3 linked regions of the Mytilus edulis genome follow. The protein of the gene in region 2 purifies or fractionates together with the protein of the main gene of each other region. This does not show direct contact. Links are inferred from orthologs where the notes say so. Each region holds a gene or a part of one and is shown on either strand. Other genes may lie near its edges. The genes, in order: protein phosphatase methylesterase 1-like, serine/threonine-protein phosphatase 4 regulatory subunit 2-A-like and pre-mRNA-splicing factor ATP-dependent RNA helicase PRP16-like.

What was found.
Region 1: the proteins of serine/threonine-protein phosphatase 4 regulatory subunit 2-A-like (region 2) and protein phosphatase methylesterase 1-like purify together in Homo sapiens (affinity purification with mass spectrometry; 3 studies listed by BioGRID and IntAct, counting the BioPlex papers as one, with this or other methods). This does not show direct contact. The link is inferred for Mytilus edulis from reciprocal best matches to the Homo sapiens genes PPP4R2 and PPME1.
Region 3: the proteins of serine/threonine-protein phosphatase 4 regulatory subunit 2-A-like (region 2) and pre-mRNA-splicing factor ATP-dependent RNA helicase PRP16-like purify together in Homo sapiens (affinity purification with mass spectrometry; 3 studies listed by BioGRID and IntAct, counting the BioPlex papers as one, with this or other methods). This does not show direct contact. The link is inferred for Mytilus edulis from reciprocal best matches to the Homo sapiens genes PPP4R2 and DHX38.

The regions. Positions count from the first base shown.
Region 1 is NC_092351.1:40,371,911-40,378,800, forward strand, and holds the start of protein phosphatase methylesterase 1-like, read left to right. Parts: upstream 1-2,875; 5' UTR 2,876-2,920; coding exon 2,921-2,994; intron 2,995-6,890. Other genes in the region: C2 domain-containing protein 3-like, read right to left, coding at 2,566-2,611. UniProt on the Homo sapiens protein: Demethylates proteins that have been reversibly carboxymethylated. Demethylates PPP2CB (in vitro) and PPP2CA. Binding to PPP2CA displaces the manganese ion and inactivates the enzyme.
Region 2 is NC_092344.1:52,048,315-52,055,204, reverse strand, and holds the start of serine/threonine-protein phosphatase 4 regulatory subunit 2-A-like, read right to left. Parts: upstream 4,452-6,890; 5' UTR 4,335-4,451; coding exon 4,298-4,334; intron 4,164-4,297; coding exon 4,082-4,163; intron 2,146-4,081; coding exon 1,975-2,145; intron 1,336-1,974; coding exon 1,242-1,335; intron 349-1,241; coding exon 311-348; intron 1-310. UniProt on the Homo sapiens protein: Regulatory subunit of serine/threonine-protein phosphatase 4 (PP4). May regulate the activity of PPP4C at centrosomal microtubule organizing centers.
Region 3 is NC_092348.1:89,212,180-89,219,069, reverse strand, and holds the start of pre-mRNA-splicing factor ATP-dependent RNA helicase PRP16-like, read right to left. Parts: upstream 4,595-6,890; 5' UTR 4,305-4,594; coding exon 3,976-4,304; intron 255-3,975; coding exon 61-254; intron 1-60. Other genes in the region: leucine-rich repeat-containing protein 69-like, read left to right, coding at 4,843-5,019, 6,738-6,864. UniProt on the Homo sapiens protein: Probable ATP-binding RNA helicase. Involved in pre-mRNA splicing as component of the spliceosome.

The sequences.
Region 1 (6,890 bases), on a different chromosome or scaffold from region 2:
GGATTTAGGGACGTTTCTAAAAAAAAATTGATTGATTATATAGGGAATCACCCTAGAAGCAGCAGAGAGTACAGAGATGAATATTTATATTTTGACTTCTTTAATTGACCGAATATAAATAGCTTTTGTGTTTAAAATCAATTTATTATATATATATATATATATATATTCTTGTATAAATTCATTAATACTCTGCATTATTAAACACATAACACAAAGCAATATTGCATGTTATGATTTATGACTGATTGATTCAGATCACAAAAGTTCACTATAAAAAAGGAGTTACGTGCCCTTGAATTTTGCGCCTTAAAAAATTCCTGGGGAGAACACTGCATCTGGTCCGGTCATTGTCGAGGTTGGTCATGTCAGTCAGCGATGGTCATGTCACGTTTTCTAAAGTTTTTGAAAAAAAATTTTTATTTTTTATAACATTTTGGTTTAATTATATGACATATCATTTTATGTTTCAAATCTGAGATAATTCCTTTGAAAAATAAAAAAGTTATTAGCATTTTTATTTGATCCTGTCATTGTCGACGTTGGTCCTGTCATTATCAGAGTTGGTCCTGTCACGTTTTCTAAAGTTTCTTACAATTTTTTTTTATTTTTTTCTTAAATCTATATATTAAATGATGAAATCTTATTATATTTCAAATTTCAGAAAAATATTCTGAGAAATACAAGAGTAATTAGCAATATCATCTGGTCCGGTCATTGTCGAGGTTGGTCATGTCAGTCAGCGATGGTCATGTCACGTTTTCTAAAGTTTTTGAAAAAAATCTATATTTTTTATAACATTTTGGTTTCATAATATGACATATCATTTTATATTTCAAATCTGAGATAATTCCTTTGAAAAATAAAAAAGTTATTAGCATTTTTATTTGGTCCTGTCATTATCATAGTTGGTCATGTCACGTTTTCTAAAGTTTCTTACAATTTTTTTTAATTTTTTTACAAATCTGTATATCAAATGATGAAATCTGATTATATTTCAAATTTGAGATCAATCCTTTGAGAAATGAAAAAGTTATTAGCATTTTTCAATTGGTCCTGCAGTGATTTTCCAACCCTCATTTTGGGGCCGAATTTCGGCCCCATTCCCAAAGAGAAATATGCTCTTTTTTTCCCAATTTTCAGCTCTAAAATTCCCAATCGTATATGGACATCGTCGCAAGATTTTGTTATTGTCGTATCTCCGTATCGTGTATTATTTTGTTGACAAATCTCTGAGCGTTCGGGCTATTTCAGGAGTTATCATTATCGTTCACTTAAGACGATGATTGGTTTGCAATCTTTTTTGGATTGAATTGCAATCTACGATATTCTGGTCACGTTTGCGCTTGAGACATAATGTAAACAAAATGAACGTAGATCATGTCTCATAATTCCAAATATTACACAAAGAAGCTAAAGGCGGCGGACGGTAGTAAATGCCGGAAGCTGGAAGCTTTTGGATTCAAAAAGTCGTTTCTACTTCCTTCTGATGAAACAAGTGAAAAAAGGAAAAGACCGACTCTCAGATACAGAACTGGAACAACTAGTTGACATGTTTAAAAATAAACATGAAGGAAAACTTGGAATTTTAAATAAAACTAAAAAATAAATGCTTCAGATTTCAAATGTGTCTTTTTAGAATTTCTATAGATTCTCATCATTATAAATAGAATCAGAAGTAATTGTTGAATTTTACCTTTCAAGAGTAAAGTTACAAAGCATGAGTGCATGCAAATGTGTCCTCAGACACATTCAACTTTTATTTTTAATCCTTTTCCTTAAAGCTTATTTTGTAGGCAATTCATGCAGTTAATCCTTCTCAGAATGCAGGATTTTGCACCTAATTTTCAAAATTTTCTTGGGGGGGGGGGGGCATGCCCCCAAACCCCCCTAGCGAGGCGCACACGGCTGCCGTGTGCCCGCCGTCGTAAAGACCAATCATATTTTTCCCAATTGCATGGGCCCTAGGACCCTTCTCCTAAACACCAGGAAAATCACTGTCCTGTCATTCGGTCCAGTCATTAGTGTAACCCAATTCAACCATATAAAATTGTGCAAAAAGTATTGAAATATATTACTCCATTTTAACTGAAACTTGAATTTACAAGAATGCATAATAAAAGTTATGTGCGAATGAATTATGAGGCTTCAATAATTGCCTTTTTTCAGTGATATTAATGAACGCGTAAAATTGCCCTTTTTCCAATGACATTTACGCCTAAAATTGTCATTTTAAAATAACAATGCTCATATTAAGTCTATGGTTTACATATAATATGTAAAATTCCACAGAATCACCAACAGGAAGGGACAAGGTAGTGTACTTACAGCTTCCCACACCTCCCCCTTTTCTTAATATTTAACCATGATATAACTAAATTGCGCCATATTGGAAACCTATGACAGATCGAAATGCATTTATTTCATGCTATGTTTACAGATAGGAAACAGAACTGATGCGATATTAACTGACTATAAATGTACATAATTGCCGCCAACCTGCTGATTTTTAAACATGTATAAACATGGTCAAAATGTAAACAAACACTTTTAACAGGGGTATACCTTGTTTTTTCGTTGACTTAGTGCCTTTTTGTTTCTTTTTCACCATATTAAAGAATTTAATGGGTTACATCATTCCTAAAATAATGAGAATATATGCACAGAATAGCTATATTTTGCAGAAACATAGCTGTTACCAGCCAAACATTCTTCTCGGACTGTCCGCCATTCTGAATCTCGCAAGTGCGAGACTTATTTTTACTGATATAATTTTCGTAGTTTATATTATTTAAACAACTGATGTTTAATTTTAACGGTAAAAAATGAGAATCCAAATAATTAATCAATGTTTGGGTTGAAAATTTATTATATTTATAATAAACAAAACAAAACAAAAACGGGCACTTTCCGGAACAAGATGTCTGCTATGGAAAAACAAGCTTTGAAAAACAAACTGGGAGGTTTACCACCAATGCCACCACCTGGTGTAGGGTGAATACACATTTAAATTTGCAGTTTCATTATTGCATGAACAGCTGAATAACACCATAACATGTCATTACAGATAAACAAGAACTAATGGCAGAAATACCATAAATTTAAAATAGTCTTTCAGAAAAAAAGTTGTACTCTCTATATTCAGTACATACTAGTCAAACACACCATAAACTGCCCAGACCAGTGTTGAAATAGCTATTTAAGCCATATCACCACATTGGCGGATCCAGGGGAGGTTCCGGGGGGTTGGAACCCCCCTTTTTTTTGGCCGATCAATGCATTTGATTGGGGACATATAGTTGGAACCCCCCCTCCTTTTGTACTGGGTTGGGACCCCCCTTTTTAAAATGGCTAGATCTGCCCCGTCACCATACGTTTAAACAGATGCAACTTCTGTATTCTGTAGGTGTCGCTGTTGACACTTGATTGTCTCCCTTGTAATTATTCAAGTCTCGCATGTATATATATATTTCACTCTGGTAAACAACTCACTTGTACTTTAAAATATATACTATTAGGTGGCAACTGTGCTTAACATATTTTTACAAAATTAAAAAATATATATACATTTATTAATTAACATGAAAATTTAAAGGAAAAAAAAAATCTAACATTAGTCATTACATTAATCAAACCGGCGCGACTCGCAAATAAAGTCACCCAACAATCGCATTAGTGTTTCATTAGAGACGGAGACATTGTCGTTTTTTTCTATTGACAATAAAAGTTCCAAATCAATATGCAACGATCCTGTGTTGAAGTATATCTCATGTATAAGTTTCTGTCTTGCTTGTTCATAATTTTCACAAAATAATAAATAATGTTCCACAGTTTCTAATTGACCACATTCACACTTGGGGTCTATATTTTGATTGATTTTATTTTGGTAATTTTTTAGGTAGTATCCGGATCTTAAATTTCTAATAATTTTTGCTGTTTTATGATCTGGATAATCAAATGTCAATTTTTTGTTGACAGTCTGATGAAAGTTATAATAAAATCTTCCTGTATCACTATTATCCCATCTATGTTGCCTACTATTATCCCATCTATGTTGCCACTTTTTATTTACTAAAATTCTTGCTGCTGTTTTAATATCTTGTTTAGTTACTGTAATATGAGCTTCTTTCTGAATTTGATTTGATTAGAGGGTGGTAAGGCAGCAACAATTTGATTTTCATTTCGGGACAGTGACCTTGACCTCATTTTCATGGTTCATTGGTCAATGTTAAGTTTTTGTTTTGTTTTTGTTAGTTTTTTCAAATATGATCATGATTATAAGCATATAAGCAATTGTTGGGGTGGAGATTGTCCTTGTAAATACTTAATTGACAACTTACCCACATCTCTTGATTTTTTGTGAAATCAGAAGAAGTCCATATATCTAATTATAATTTATGACGGCGCTGCTGCTTGCTACTAGGCTATGTTTATCTGCAAAAAAAAATAAATTTAGAAACAATAATTGTTTATTCTGCTACAAATTGCCAAAATTCATATCGGGACAGTGACCTGACTTTATTTGGATATTGCAAGTAACACTATAGTAACATTGGAAAGAAGACCACAAATACAAAAACTTAACATTGACCAAGGAACCTGCCAGACTGAAATGTACCCATTGATAATGAAAATTGTATATGGAATGACTGTCATGATTACAGGTTCATTTGTCAATGTTAAGTTTTTGTATTTTGGTCTTTTTTCCATTACTATACAGTACGGGTAGGGACTTATTTTTATGGATGTCTTAATCCGTCTAGTCGGATATGAATAATCGGACATTTTTATGGTAGGTAGTATGTTCATTAAACAACAGATCCAGGTGTGAATGGTCCTTTCATCTTAATCCGTGTTGCTAAAATTACGGTTCACTGATTTCAGAATCAGATTACCTGTAATTTTAACCTCTCAGTCACTTTATTGATTATATTAGTTCGACATCGTATTTGACATAAAATATTTTTACAGGTGAAGTACTGGAGAAAACATTGTTTAATAAAAATAGCCAATTTTTGTTAATTATGGTTTTGATATTTCAACTGTTAATATTTATTTTCTTTGTTCCTAAAAATTATTTTTATTTTATGTTCCTTTTCGTTTGGTTTTTTTTTGTATCTTTTTGTTATTTGTTTGCATAAATTGTTTAAACATATATATTTTTACATGTATTCTATTTCTTGAAGCTTACGGTTATTTTTATTTTACTGATTTATTTTCCACGTAAATCCATTGATTAGCAGAATGCTATCTCAAGTGCTGCTGCATACATTTTAGTTTGACGCGGTCACATGCAAAATATTTCTAAAATTTGTATTTAATATTCTGTCTGTTGTGTCAGTTCCGAGATAAAAAATAATTACAGTGAGCAACTTTTGTATATTATTAGTAGCTTGATGATTCTTTGTAGTTTTTACTTTTTACTGTAAACAAATATTGTCCGAAAGTTGGAGATGTATGACTAAAATAGAACGCAAATAATAACACTAGAAGAAAATATTGATTCTTCCCGGGCATAAGTTTATTTTAAGATTTCCGTGTTTGTTCATTATGCTAAATTAATATAATTGATCTGCATTTGGGGGTAGGGGTAAAAGGGGTCCGGATCTCGAAATCCCGGGCTTAAAAACACGAAGTCACAAGGTCCCGAATTTAAATAAATTTAAATCCCGACATCGCGAAAAAAGAATTCCCAGATCCCGAAAGGGTTAATCCCGAAATCCCGAACTTATTTGCATAATATTAATTTACGCACAATCCATGTAACAAAGGAAACTTGTATGTTATATTTTTTATAGCAATCTAAAAGAAAAAATTGCCGTGAAAAGACAATTCCATGATACACATATCAGTGATCAACAGCGTGTGCACGTGGTTGAACTTTAACTTGACTCCACTCACAATAATATTGAATGCTAATAAAAGATATTAAAGATCGATTTTGTCCACTGCACGAGATTTTTATATGGCGGGAAATGTCGTAACAGTAAACACAGGTGACCTTACTGACCGACCGTGGGAAAATTCATTCATGATTAAATTTGATGTGGAATGATTGACAGTATTGTGTTTTAGTTTTGAGGCTCTTGATCGATTTACCAGAATAGAAATTTAATCGATTTACATACATGTATAATAAAAACACGATTTAGTCTTCTTTAACTATTTTTTGTTTTATTTTTATCAGTCATTTCCCGGATTCCCAATTAAATAATCTATTTGGAGACCTCCTTTAAACTTCGGAAATAATACAACATCGATTTAAAAAATCAAACTGACTGCGCGAGCTTTAGAATGACTAGAAGTACGACGAAAAAGTAAAGACAGCTGATCATGACTAGTACGAATAGCCTTCAACCCCATTGGGGTATAAATGTGCATTTAGTCAATAAACTATATAAGGTTAAACTTTGATTTTCGTGTATCGATTTGATACAATTTGTAAAATATATTTATAACACCGGCGATTTTCATAAAATATTTTAGACATGAAAATAGAAAGGCATATTATCTCGAGTGTCAACAATTTTAAATAAAATAAAAAAAATAGGAATCGAAATATGATCTCGGCGTTATAAATATTGTATTAAAGGAAACCAATTGTTTGACTTTCAAAGAGATTAACGGGAAATATGTCAAAATAGAAAGCACGAGTGATCTGTCTGACCAAAATGTTTCACTTGCGAGAAATGATTGACAGGTGTGAATAGATGTAGAGGCTCCGACGGGGAAAGTTGTATCAAAAGGAAAATAACTTAATTCCAATCTAATTGAAATTAAATCTCTCACTCGCTATTTTTTTTATTCTTGGTCGCTGCGTGGGAGCCCCGCAGCGACCAAGAATAAAAAAAATAGCGAGTGAGAGATTTAATTTCAATTAGATTGACTTA
Region 2 (6,890 bases):
GTTCTTAGTTTTTTACTTCTCTTTTTGACCAATTTTTTTCAACAGGATCTTAAGTAAATTAGATTCCATCTGCAAGCTTTATTGGTTGGCTGACCATCACCAAAGTCACAATAAAAGTTAATATATGACAAGTAACCGTTCATTTATACTTAATTTGTTTGATTGCTTCTGTGATCATGGTGATTGTTAAGAGAACTAACATAAGTCTAAAGTGTAACTTGGTCTATGAACTAATAGCTTTCGTCATGGTGATGGTTTGCATCAAGTGTTATGATTTATGCTCCAGTGATTTAAGTACTATATAACTTACCTGCCAAATGGATCTATTGTAGTCACCACTGACACATTCTGAAAGAAAACAGTGCATTTAATTATTTTCAAGATGTCAAAGAATTTAAACTGCAAATCCTATTATTGTAACACAAAAACCAGAGGTAGAATTTGCTTACAACTTCACTTATATTTTACAAATTGCATGCTAAGCATATTTCAGTTGGTTTTATGTGTGTTTGTAGTGACATATCAGATCACAAATAAACAATTCTAATATGATAACCCATATATATGGTCAACTAGTGTAATCACCGAATATCTACTTTTAGCCCAAATGCATTGATACAGAAAATTGGCTAATCTGTCTATCATGTGTACCACCAGCCTCGGCCCAGGTAAACATAAATTGCCACATTGAAAACTGAGTTTTACGTAGGCCAAGCTTCAAATACAATACTGTTATCTCTAATGTTTATTTTCAGGCTTCTGTTCCCCTCAGAATATAATATTAAAATAAGATAAAAAGAATATTTTAAGGTGAAAAAAAGTGATTTTATTTTATTTGTTATTATAGTCAGGACAGTATTGTGTTTATAGGGTTTTCATGGTTGGCAAAATTACTATATTTGTCCTATTCGAATCAAAATTATACTTATCAGCTATAGATTTGTTTATATTTAACCATGGGTTGGGGATGTGTCCTCTAAATCTAACATGTCAAATAATTTGATAAAGTAAATATATTGAAATCTTTGCATTTATAAATGTACTTGCATCCGAACATACAGGACTGAAAGAATAAATTGAAAATTATTTTAATACTTTTTTACACAAAAACTCATCTGTACTACTATTATAATTGAAAAGTTTGTTTTGAAAACAAGTTTGGTATAATGGATGTGGACAAATGGAGATGATATACTGGTAACTAACAAATGCTTAGAACCAGGTGAGCTTAAATGTCTTACCTTTTCAATGCCTCTCAAAAATTTGTCACATCTTTTATAATGCCTTTTTGGTTCATTGATTAATTCACAAAGCCTTTGAACAGTAAATGGTGCCCTAAATGTAAAAATAAGAATAATATAACTTAAATCAAAATTACATATCCCCAATTAAGTTCCCTGGTCTCTACTTATATATTGGTACATTGTATCGTATTCTCACAATAGACCTTTTCTAGGATTTGAACCTTTAGATGTTCTGTTAAAATGGCAATTATTACAATTGATTCAGGTTTTTTCTAAAGGGTCATTATATTTAATAAAATGTTGAACTATTCTAGCTATAAAAGGGTGTGTTCTGCAGATTGATTATCATCCACTTCAGGCATTTGATTTCTTTTTCGAAACCAAGAGATAACAATTGACTCATTTTGAAGTCAGTGGTTCACTTATATTTCAGTTGTAGCTGTACATGTAAGTGTAAAGTCATGAAAATGACTAAAATACAAAACGTCCTGACTTACTACCATGTCAAATTCTGCAAAACCTCAATTTTATCATAAAGAGATTATTACCACATATTTCAATATATAAGTAAGGGAGATTACCTCCCCTTTGACACAAAGGACAATGGCTTCAAATTTATTCCTTATAAAGCCAAACCTCAGTTTCATGTAATCAACTTATGACATTTTCATGTTTAATCATCTCTGAGAAATTTTGTATGAGACAAAATCGTAGGTTAGGATTTTTTTACCCTTGAAATTCATCCATTAAGGACAGGATTCTCCTTCTCATTTCGTCATATTTTACTGGCTCAATATTTGGTGTTGTCTGCAATAAGTCTGTTGGACTGGTCTCCTTGAACTGTGTCATGACTAGATCAACTTTTGCCACAAATAACTTTTTCAGCTGATGCCATGGAAATCTGAAAAAATAAGTATTATAAAATTATACATGTACATGTGACTTTTTTCAATTTCTTGCATATAAAAATAGACCTCCAAAAATCTTCAACTATATGTGCATTCAAACTGAGGACAATGGAAGTTATTAATCTTCCACAGTTTAAAATTAAAAGTACCAAACTGTGTTGTCAATAAAATGATCAAGCATCTTTATGATTTCAGTCTTGTCTGTATGTTACATAGTGCAGGTTCCGATCGCGGATATATGGGCACTAGAAAACTTAGTTTAAATTTGAGTTGTTTCTGTTAAAACAAAAAAAATAATATATTTGTATCCTAACCCTTTCGCCGATGAGTACCGGTTTACCGGGATTCACGCTTCAGACAGCTGACGATGAGTCCCGTTTTACCGGGAATCGGAATACCTCTTTTATATTTCCCGCTCAAAACAGTGCTAACATGAGTTATCTTTCTTTGATAAATATCCGGATGAAAGTGTAAACATGGCGCTTCTACATGTTGAAAACTGTGTCAAAATCAGAGGAAATTTACTGAATTTACGAGAATTTGAAATGAGGGAACATTTTTTTTGAAAGAATATGGAAGAATTGAAGCCAAACTAGTATACTTTTTGGACATAAAATGTTGTTTTATGTACGAAACACTTGGAATGGACATCGTTCAGTGTGAGGAATTTGTACAGCCTAGTAAAATTTTTCAAAATTTTGCCGTTTTGGGTTAAAAAATTACAACTTGGGGTCAAAGAGCAGAATTTTGATAATTTCACCTAGATAATGCCGAAAATTTGAAAATTTGAATATTTTATGAAGAAAAATTATCAAAACATGAACAAAACTGTGAACATAGTGTTAGTGAAAAAAATAAATACACAAATAACTACAAACAAGTTTTTATTGACATTTAATATGAAGATCTCCAACTTAACTCTTTCCTCCATTGAAATTTTTTTTTTGCATACTTGATTCGCATAGGATTTTTTTAATAAAATGCTGAACATATACTTTAAAGTATTAATGCATTGCGAAAAACAAATATTTCTTCAAATAAATTTAAGTCAGATATTCCTATGTTATTCCTTTTCATATTGGATACAAATTTTATTAAGTCAACTGCAGACACTTTGTAGTCAAAGCGTTTCAACAGAGGTACTACACAGGCGTCATTATGGAGTAAAGGGGGTGGCGTCAAAAGGTGTCACTATGGAGGAAAGGGTTAAGTAATAGTAGCCAGGGAAGCCATCGTCTCAGAGTAGCTTCAGTCTGGGCAGCTATCGGTGAAAGGGTTAATCAGGGTTCTCACTATTAAAGGAATTTTGATGGTGAGTCCACGGCCTCATCTTGTTTGGCTATGGCGAGTCAAACGGTGAGAAGATGAAAGTTTGTTGCTACATGTACATGTATACAATTCATTATTTCTGTCCCTATCAATAAATACATGTAGAGCAAGGATATGACATCAAATTTAGATTTTTTATAAAGATGAAGTTATGTTACAAAATGATGACTATAAACACTTCTCAGATCTGCAGTGACATCACAACCGGGTCTGAGACTTCTTAACGAACTGAAATGATCAATGCCCAAGTGGTGTTTAGCTGGATTGGTTTGTGGTCAAACGTCTCGAAAGCGTCTTGAGAGGCATTAATATTTTACTTTTTCATTGACACCTTCCTACGCCATAGTTATTTGTTCTCCTTTAGCCTATGATTTGGTCAGTTATTCAAACCAAAACTCAGGTTTTCTAAAAACTAATTTTAAAGCCAAGGTAAGGTATCAAATCATTTAATTGACATTATGTCAATTAAATGATTTGATAACTTTATTTAATCTTGAGATAATTTGCCATGGGGTGGGGGGCTTCAATTGTCAAATGAAGTATGCATATATTGACTACAGTACGACATATAACCTAGGTCAATCTTATAATAAAACATACAAAGTTTTTCCTGTTTTTGCAACTTGATGCAGATACTGGTCTAACAATGGAGGGATTTCTGTGCATGGTTTCTTCTCAAATTCTGAAAGAAAAAATAAAGTACTATTAAATTCACGTCTTTTTTTAAGGAATCAAATTCAAAACAGAGTACTATCGTGTAGTTCAATACTACACTTGTCATTGCTTATCTTTAGTCATTAATTTGTGATATATTACCGTTCAAAGCGTCTAAAATATCCTCTTTGTTTTCCATTCTCAAACTGGAGGTCAACAAATGGCGGCACGGAAATGACGTTATGGCGCAACTTATTTCATTCTTTGGGGGTGATAGGTAAGTTCATTTCCGATAATTCAATATTACAATAAATTTGCTTTAAAATTGCACTGAATGCATTTTGAATAAAAATTTAAACCTAGGAAACGTGTTGCTTAAACTATATTACTGCCATGGTAGGCGTAAGGAAATAATTAAACCCCCTAATTTCAATTTTAGGATTTCCCTTTTACCTAGGTCTCACTAATTAGCGACAAGAAGAATTTAAGCGACAAAAAGCGTCAAGACGCGACAAGAAGAATTATTTTAGCGACAAGAAGCGACAAGAAAACATATTTTTTTAATTAAAATTACTTTTTCCAAATAAATATTAAAAGAATATGCAAAAGAAAACAATTCTAGCGACAAGAAAGGTAAATATTGATGAAAAAAAATTGAAACATTTATTTACATGGTATTTATCATTTATTATGTATAACAGCTAGCATTACGTTTACCCTGAAAAGGCTGTTGTATTATGAGATTACTTTTCCTTGTGTTTTAGAACGAAACGATGTGTTAGCTACTACCGCCGAGCGGAGCGATGCGAACAAAATTTGAAAATATCAAAAATCCAAATATCATTGAAAACGTGAAAATCTGTTTACCATGTATATTGACATAAGAGACAACCCCCCAAAACAGGTAAAAAAGTCACTAAATGTTCACGAAGAGAAATATTCTATCACTTTTCAGGGCCGTAACTAGCCTCTGTTAATAGTGAGGCAAAATATATATGCTGAGCGTAGCGAGGCGAATTTTTTTCGGCGAGGGGTCTGGGGAGGGGGGGGGGGGGGTTCTGGGGACCGCTTAGGACCCCCAGAAGCTTTGAGAAAAATAACGCAAAATCATGCATTCTGAGCGTTTCCCAGACTCTTTCTAACATTGAAACGCAATTAATATTTTAGCCATTTTTCTCCGACAATATGCTGGTCTCAAAGCAAAAACGTAGATTCATTGTAATTTGGGACTTTTAGGTTTTACGGAGACAACATCATTAACAGACCGATGTGTAGGATAAAGCAAAAATCGTAAGTCTCATGAAATAAAAACCGGGTCTGTCTGTCTGTTCTTGTTTTGTATTGTGCTTAGACTTTGGTGATTTTATAATGACTAGATTTAAACATAGTGACAGTGCAGTAATATACTTTAAGTACTAGTACTGCCTAAGTCGACACTAAGAACCATCTTGACCTTGTTTTACGGTATTAATGATTCTTTTATTGTTGAAGACCCTCCGTCTACTACCAAGATGAAGAACAGGAATAAAAACTTTGAACATTGGTCATTTGTATTTTTTCTATGCATTGACTTTGTGTGAGATTAGTTCCCGTGTACGTTTTCTCCATATTCCTTTATTTTCTGTTAACAAGACTTAATGCAAGTTTAATCCTTCAATGTAAAAGGTCATATAGCTATACAGTGATGTTTTTTTTTATAGATGATTTGATACCGATGAATTGGTCGTCTTACTTTAATTTAATCCATGTCAGCTGTTTAGTTTTATCTACAAAAAGAGTCAGTTTTGTATTCTTTGATATCAAGTTCAATGCCCCATGCAGAAACGACCAGTTTTTTCTGTGTCCAGTAGCATCGTATATTCTTAAAATATTTTTGTCGCACAATGTCTGGACATCGGTTAACATGCAACATTGCAAAACCACACGTTTACAAATGGAAATTAACCCTCAGACTATCGTCACAAAGTAGGACAATAAATGAACAAAAGACAAACCCGGGACACATAATAACAAACAATAGACCATCAACTCTGAAAACAAAACTAAAAGTAAAATAGAAATATGGATCACGAAAAACATGCAGGGACGACAGCAGAGAGTGAAGAGAACTTTCTTTTTTGCAAGACACTTTCCGTGAACACAATTTGATATGAAGACAATTTTTTTGTTTCATTTTTTTTTTTGAAGTTTTCAACATGAGGCATTTGCCTCATTTGCCACAATGTAGTTACGGCCCTGCTTTTCGACAGTTTCCATTTCAATATAGCGTTTATAATTTTAAAGTACCAGTTACACAAACTGTGAGAAAAAAAATTGGGACCCTATTATGCAGAATTTTTTTTCAGTTTTCGGTCATAGGACGGTTAAAAGAGGAGCTATGTGTAGATAAAAAATTATGAATGTGAAGCTATTAATAAATCTTCTGAATATAGTAATACATAAACAACACATATTTGTGATACAGAATTTACTCAAAATTGTCCAAAATCTGATCTTCGGGTCTGGGCAGAAACAAGCTTCTTTATTACTTTGTCAACATTCACACTGAATTCCATGAATATGCAGTAATGCTATGTAACTTTCGTTGTTCATTGTTGATCGTACATTTGTTTTCAATTACATGCGTAGTACCGTGACTGATAGATCTCAGGGCCATCATGGCATGGTAGCACTCGCGAGATGTTATAAACCAGCGTACGTGTTCGGCATCGAACGATCTCCCAATTGAATTCGTCAGTTTCGTATGTTTCTGACA
Region 3 (6,890 bases), on a different chromosome or scaffold from region 2:
AGATGATGAGAAGCACCAAATGGGCCATGTTTACAATCATAAATATATGATAATACAAACGTCTATTTTCATCTCTGTCTCTGTTTTTTCTTCTATCTTTGTCTTTTCTATTTTTCTCCTTTTTCTCTCTTTCTTTAGATGACATGTAAACTCCTCTCTCTTTTTCTTTGTGCCTTTTATGCTGTCTTTCTTTAGCTTCTTTGCTAACACCTCCAGGATGAGAAGGTGTTTCTATTCTTGGTGGTCTATAATTTCTATAAAAAACATGGATAAAAAACATTTACTTTTACAAATGTACTTTCATCATTTCATAACAGTATTTTCAATCCAGGGAAATTCAGAAATTATTACCTGCATTCATTATTACCATTTTTGAAAAATGTGAATGAAGAAATTAATTATGTATAAACATGATAAAATAAGTTTTTAATATATGAATTAATTCATAAACTACAGGCAACTACATACCAAAACTTACTTGTCCGAATCAAATTGTAACTTGTCCAAAAAAAATCTTAATAATAACCTTTTTTGTATTTTAAGTTAATTCAAGGAACAAAATAAAGTAAAACAATAGAACAGAATTTGACTTATTTCTTTTGAAATACTTTTCAAAAATATGAGTCGAGAACAACTGAATCTAGTCATGTCACAGGACTTAGGTTCTAGTTTTTATCAATGCCAAAGTCTGACCAGACTTTGCACATGAGGCACCATCTGATAGGCCTGTCAATATATACACTCATTTGATTTGTATCCTGTTTTTTTATGTTGAAAAAAGTTAATTCAAATTTATGCAATCAATAAACTAGAGGATCTTACGAGCCTGTGTCGCTCACCTTGATCTATGTGCATATTAAACAAAGAACACAGATGGATTCATGACAAAATTGTGTTTTGGTGATGGTGATGTGTTTGAAGTTCTTACTTTACTGAACGTTCTTGCTACTAACAATTATCTTTATCTATAATGAACTTTGCCCATTAGTAACAGAGGAAATTATTTTGTAAAAATTTACAAAAATTTACCAAATTAATGAAAAATTGGTAAAAATTGACTATAAAGGGCAATAACTCCTTAAGGGGTCAACTGACCATTTTGGTCATGTTTGACTTATTTGTAGATCGTACTTTGCTGAACATTATTGCTGTTTACAGTTTATCTCTATCAATAATAGTATTCAAGATAATAACCAAAAACGGCAAAATTTCTTTGAAAATTACCAATTGGGGGGCAGCAACCAAACAACCAGTTGTCCAATTCATCTGAGAATTTCAGGGCAGATAGATATTGACTTAATAAACAATTTAACCCTGTCAGATTTGCTCTAAATGCTTTTGTTTCAGAGTTATAAGCCAAAATCTACATTTTACCCCTATGTTCTATTTTTAGCCATGGTGGCCATCTTGGTTGGTTGGCTAGGTCACCGCACACATTTTTTAAACTAAATACCCCAATGATGATTGTGGCCAAGTTTGGTTAAATTTGGCCCTGTAGTTTCAGAGGAGAAGATTTTTGTAAAAGATACAAAAATTTATGAAAAATTGGTAAAAAAATGACTATAAAGGGCAATAACTCCTTAAGGGGTCAACTGACCATTTTGGTCATGTTTGACTTATTTGTAGATCGTACTTTGCTGAACATTAATGCTGTTTACAGTTTATCTCTATCTATAATAGTATTCAAGATAATAACCAAAAACGGCAAAATTTCTTTGAAAATTACCAATTGGGGGGCAGCAACCCAACAACCGGTTGTCTGATTCATCTGAGAATTTCAGGGCAGATAGATATTGACTTAATAAACAATTTAACCCTGTCAGATTTGCTCTAAATGCTTTTGTTTCAGAGTTATAAGCCAAAATCTACATTTTACCCCTATGTTCTATTTTTAGCCATGGTGGCCATCTTGGTTGGTTGGCTAGGTCACCGCACACATTTTTTAAACTAAATACCCCAATGATGATTGTGGCCAAGTTTGGTTAAATTTGGCCCTGTAGTTTCAGAGGAGAAGATTTTTGTAAAAGATACAAAAATTTATGAAAAATTGGTAAAAAAATGACTATAAAGGGCAATAACTCCTTAAGGGGTCAACTGACCATTTTGGTCATGTTGACTTATTTGTAGATCGTACTTTGCTGAACATTAATGCTGTTTACAGTTTATCTCTATCTATAATAGTATTCAAGATAATAACCAAAAACGGCAAAATTTCTTTGAAAATTACCAATTGGGGGGCAGCAACCCAACAACCGGTTGTCTGATTCATCTGAAAATTTCAGAGCAGATAGATCTTCACTTGATAAACAATTTAACCCCCATGTCAGATTTGCTCTAAATGCTTTGGTTTCAGAGTTATAAGCCAAAATCTACATTTTACCCCTATGTTCTATTTTTAGACATGGGGGCCATCTTGGTTGGTTGGCCGGGTCACGGGACACAATTTTTAAACTAGATACCCCAATGATGATTGTGGCCAAGTTTGGTTAAATTTGCCCAGTAGTTTCAGAGGAGAAGATTTTTGTAAAAGTTAACGACGACGGACGACGTCGACTACGGTTGACGAACGCCAGGTTAGCTAAAAAAAAAGATAAGGTATGATTGCTAATCAGACAACTCTCTGCAAGAGACCAAATGACACAGAAATTAACAACTGTAGGTCACCAAGTATTGTTTTTTCTACATATGGTCAAATATGATTTTGTAAATCTTATGGTCAATAAATTCATTTCTACTTTTAAAATAATTTTGTTAAAAAAATTACTGGTATGGTAATTATTATAATGCAACAGAAAATTGTAGGGAAACAAGGTCTTGGTCCCGAACTGTCTATTAATCATGTCTCATACAGTGCCAAACTGTCTATTAAAATTGGGGCTGAATGTCTTAATTCCAAGCTGGTGACGAACTGTCTTGTAAAGTTACCTCATCTACAAAGCGCATACTGATTTGGTCCATTGGATCAGAATAGTATGCCTTTTACCTGTCAAATAGTACCTGACAAAGAACCAGTTTTTATTGTCGATTGCAAGTAAACATGTCAAATTAATACATGTACTTGTTTTTATCTTCTTTTTTTTTTGTTTTTTGTTTACAACTACTTTGTTCATCAAAGTTTGATTAAATTGATTTTTTCTGCAAAATAATTTTACTTGTCGACAAGGTTGATATAGCTTTAACTTGACCGACCTTTTTTTACTCTGGTAACAGACAATAGGGCAAGCGTTATTGTCAAGACCTGAACTATAAATAACAATCATGACAATTTGTATTTTTTTAAATATGTGAGTGCTAGCTATATAGATAGTTTTATTCTTACAAATTCAAAAATTCTTCAGACTTTATTTCACGTCTTGGTTATCAATATTTGGGCAAAGAATTTAGGGTTAATATACACAACCAGAATAACTAAAGGAAAACTTTGAAAACTATCAGAAAAGTGTGCATTTCCCTGCCTTTAAAAAATACAATTTCAAACTATCAAAATAATAAAGAATAGATAACTTGTTTTATGCATATACATGATATATAAGCATGTTTTAAATATGATGATACAGGATAAATATAAAAGTTGTAAAGAAATCTTGCTAAAGGATTAGCTGATGGTGACTGAGTGACCCTGTCTCCTTTATGAGATTACCCTGCCTTATACTATCATCCTCTATTATCTTATCCGATTTTAATGTGTGTAAATTAAACCCACCTTTCTTTACAACTTTTATGCTTTGACAATTTATTATCTTAAATTTAACTACACTTAAACACTGCCTGAAGATTGCATTTCTTTGTTTACAATCCAATGTTTATATGCATGAATATGATGATACAGGATAAATATAAAAGTCGTAAAGAAATCTTGCTAAAGGATTAGCTGATGGTGACTGAGTGACCCTGTCTCCTTTATGAGATTACCCTGCCTTATACTATCATCCTCTATTATCTTATTCGATTTTGATGTGTGTAAATTAAACCCACCTTTCTTTACGACTTTTATGCTTTGACAATTTATTATCTTCTTCATCACTACTTGAGTCACTACTATCACTTTCATCTTTGCTGTCTGTATATGATGTCACCTTTGATCTTTTTGTTGTATTTTCACTTTTGATATCTAATTTCCTTTTTTCTGCTGCCAATTTATCAAGTCCCAATAGCGATACCTTGGGAAGTGATGGTTTCTTGAATTGAAAGTCTCCATGTTCTGATTTCTTTTTCATTATAACAAGTCCACCCTTTTCTTTGCCCAATGAACCCTCCAATCTGTGTAATTCAGGATCGTCATCTGGATCTACGAAACTTGTCATTGTGAAATTAAGTTTTTTTACACCTGCACTGTAGAAGTAAGAGGCATGATTTACAATTACTTGTACAAATCAAACATCATCAGATCATGTCCCATGATGTGGTTTTGCTAAATATTTTAGATGTTTTATGACTTGACACGTGTTTATCCTTATTACACTGGGGAAGTATTAATTGGAAATATATCTCATAGGCATATTTAGCAGGTTTTATCTAACAACACCAACTTTGAAACATAAATAGTAAATCATGCAAAAAACGTTTTGAAACTTTAACCGGAAACACTCTCCAATTTAAGAAACCACGAAAATGATAAGGTGCGATCGAAAAAATTTCTGTAAATATCATAAATATTCAATGTTTATTATTTTTTTCCTTTATCGTAGAATTATTGAGAGTATTCATATCAGAATATTTTAAAGCATATACCTACATAGTCTTTCAATATCTTAAAAATGGAATAAAGAAACATTTATTTTATATTTACAAATAGATGTTTTTCGAACACACCTTAAAAGTTAGCAACAAGAAAGCGTCAATATGGCGGACACCTTGCTAGTCCGTGCATTGAAAGGGAAACCAAAAACGTTGAATTTGTGTAATAAGAAACTTGACAAGGTTCCAAGGGCCATTGGAAAATTAGACTGTGTTGTACACTTGCAGTTGAGAGGGAATAAATTGAAGGATTTACCTATAGAACTTAGCCATTTGTTTCAGGTTGATATTTCCCATAAAATATAATTTTAAATTCTGTAAACAAATTTGTTATCAGAGTTAATGTTTCTTATTCAGGTGTAACAACTCAGAAAAGAAATTAGCATATCCATACTGAGTATTAATGTAAATGAAAAATACCGGCTCAGTTTGTCGAGAATATGAGGTATCAGGTCCGTTCGCGCCCAATATACTTTCGCACCCTACACGTTCGCACTCTACACGTTCGCGCCCAATTTTAATTCAAATTCCAGTTGAATAATTGGAAAATCATGATTGTTGTTTTTAATTGCTTTCGTGTAAATACTGAATGTATTTATAGCTTGGTATGAGTAAACATTTGAAGATTTTAAATGAAAAACACAAAAGATAATTGTTTTTAACAGCTTGGTCCCTTTGATCTGAAACAATGAAACAATAAAATATAGCAATACACTATTATAACCAAAACATGATAAAATTTATTCAACACACAAAAAATAAAAACGTAGTCAGAATCTCACTTCATTTTGAAACAAGTCATTGAATAAAGTTATAGCAATACATAAACCAAAACATGATTAAGAGTTATTCAACACAAAATAAAACGTTGACAGAATCCCACTTTATATAGAAAGGAATATTTTTTTTTTAACAATACACTATCCAAAACATTTCAACACAAAAGAAAAATGCTGTCTCACTTTATTCTGAGACAATGAAAACAATTATACTTATAAGAATAATACTTGCCAAAACTTGATTACAAAGTTATTAAACACAAAACCAATTAAAATTGGGCGTGAACATGTAGGGTGCGAACGGTTTTTGGGTGGAAACATGTAGGGTGCGAAAGTGAAAGGGGGCGAACATGAGTGGGTGCGAACGTGAATGGGCGCGAACGGACCCGGATTCAGAATATGATAACACATGTGCACTCGTGCAGCATTTATCTGTTCAGCCACCATAGTGTTAATTAACAGCTACTTATTTATTGTGTGGCATCGCAGTATTAACATTTGAGGTCAAGTTCCTATTAATATAATTGGTCAATTTCATGGTGAATTGTAGTATTTGTAATATGTTTGTAAGATTCATCAAATTAATAAACGGGGTTGGAGTTATTGTCAATGTGACAATGACCCCAACCTGTTCCTTTCTGTGCTGAGATTAAGATGGAATGGCAGACTAGTTTACTCCCAGTAATTCAAAGAATAACGGGAGAGTATTTACTCCTTTTTTGACAAGATTTTATGAAAATGACAACTTGGACCTTTAATTTGAATCTGATTAAATTCAATTTTTATGACTAAGTAAAAAAAAATTTATTCTATAAGTCAAAAAAATAGGTAACACTCAAAATGTAAAAGTGGAAAATTAAGATGCTATTTATCTCCCCTGAAACAGGTACATTTGTATGTTATGGCCTTACAGTTTATCTTTTGTATTATGTTTTAGGTATCAGATACTAATTTGTAATACAAATGTACCATCTATGTACCAATACAATGCATCAGATAATTCCCTTTCCTTAATTAGAATATTATAATATGATAGGGAACCGAGGTTTTACAAAGACACATCTTGAGCTGTTTTTAATGAATAAGCTATACAGGCTGACCAAAGTTCAGTAGACATTAACCAATCTGTAACATCATATAGCATATGTATTGTGACAAGACCTGTTCTTTCTTATTTTAATAAGGCCACATGTAATAACAAAATATCTTTTTGTTTTATAGTTACAGATACTGAACTGTGGAAACAATGAACTTGAAGACTTACCAGAAGTTTTGGAGTATCTCACTATGTTGGAGAAATTACATCTGTTTAACAATAACCTAAAGAATCTGAACCCCAAAGTCCTAAGTATGTATTGTTCATCTTTTTAAAGT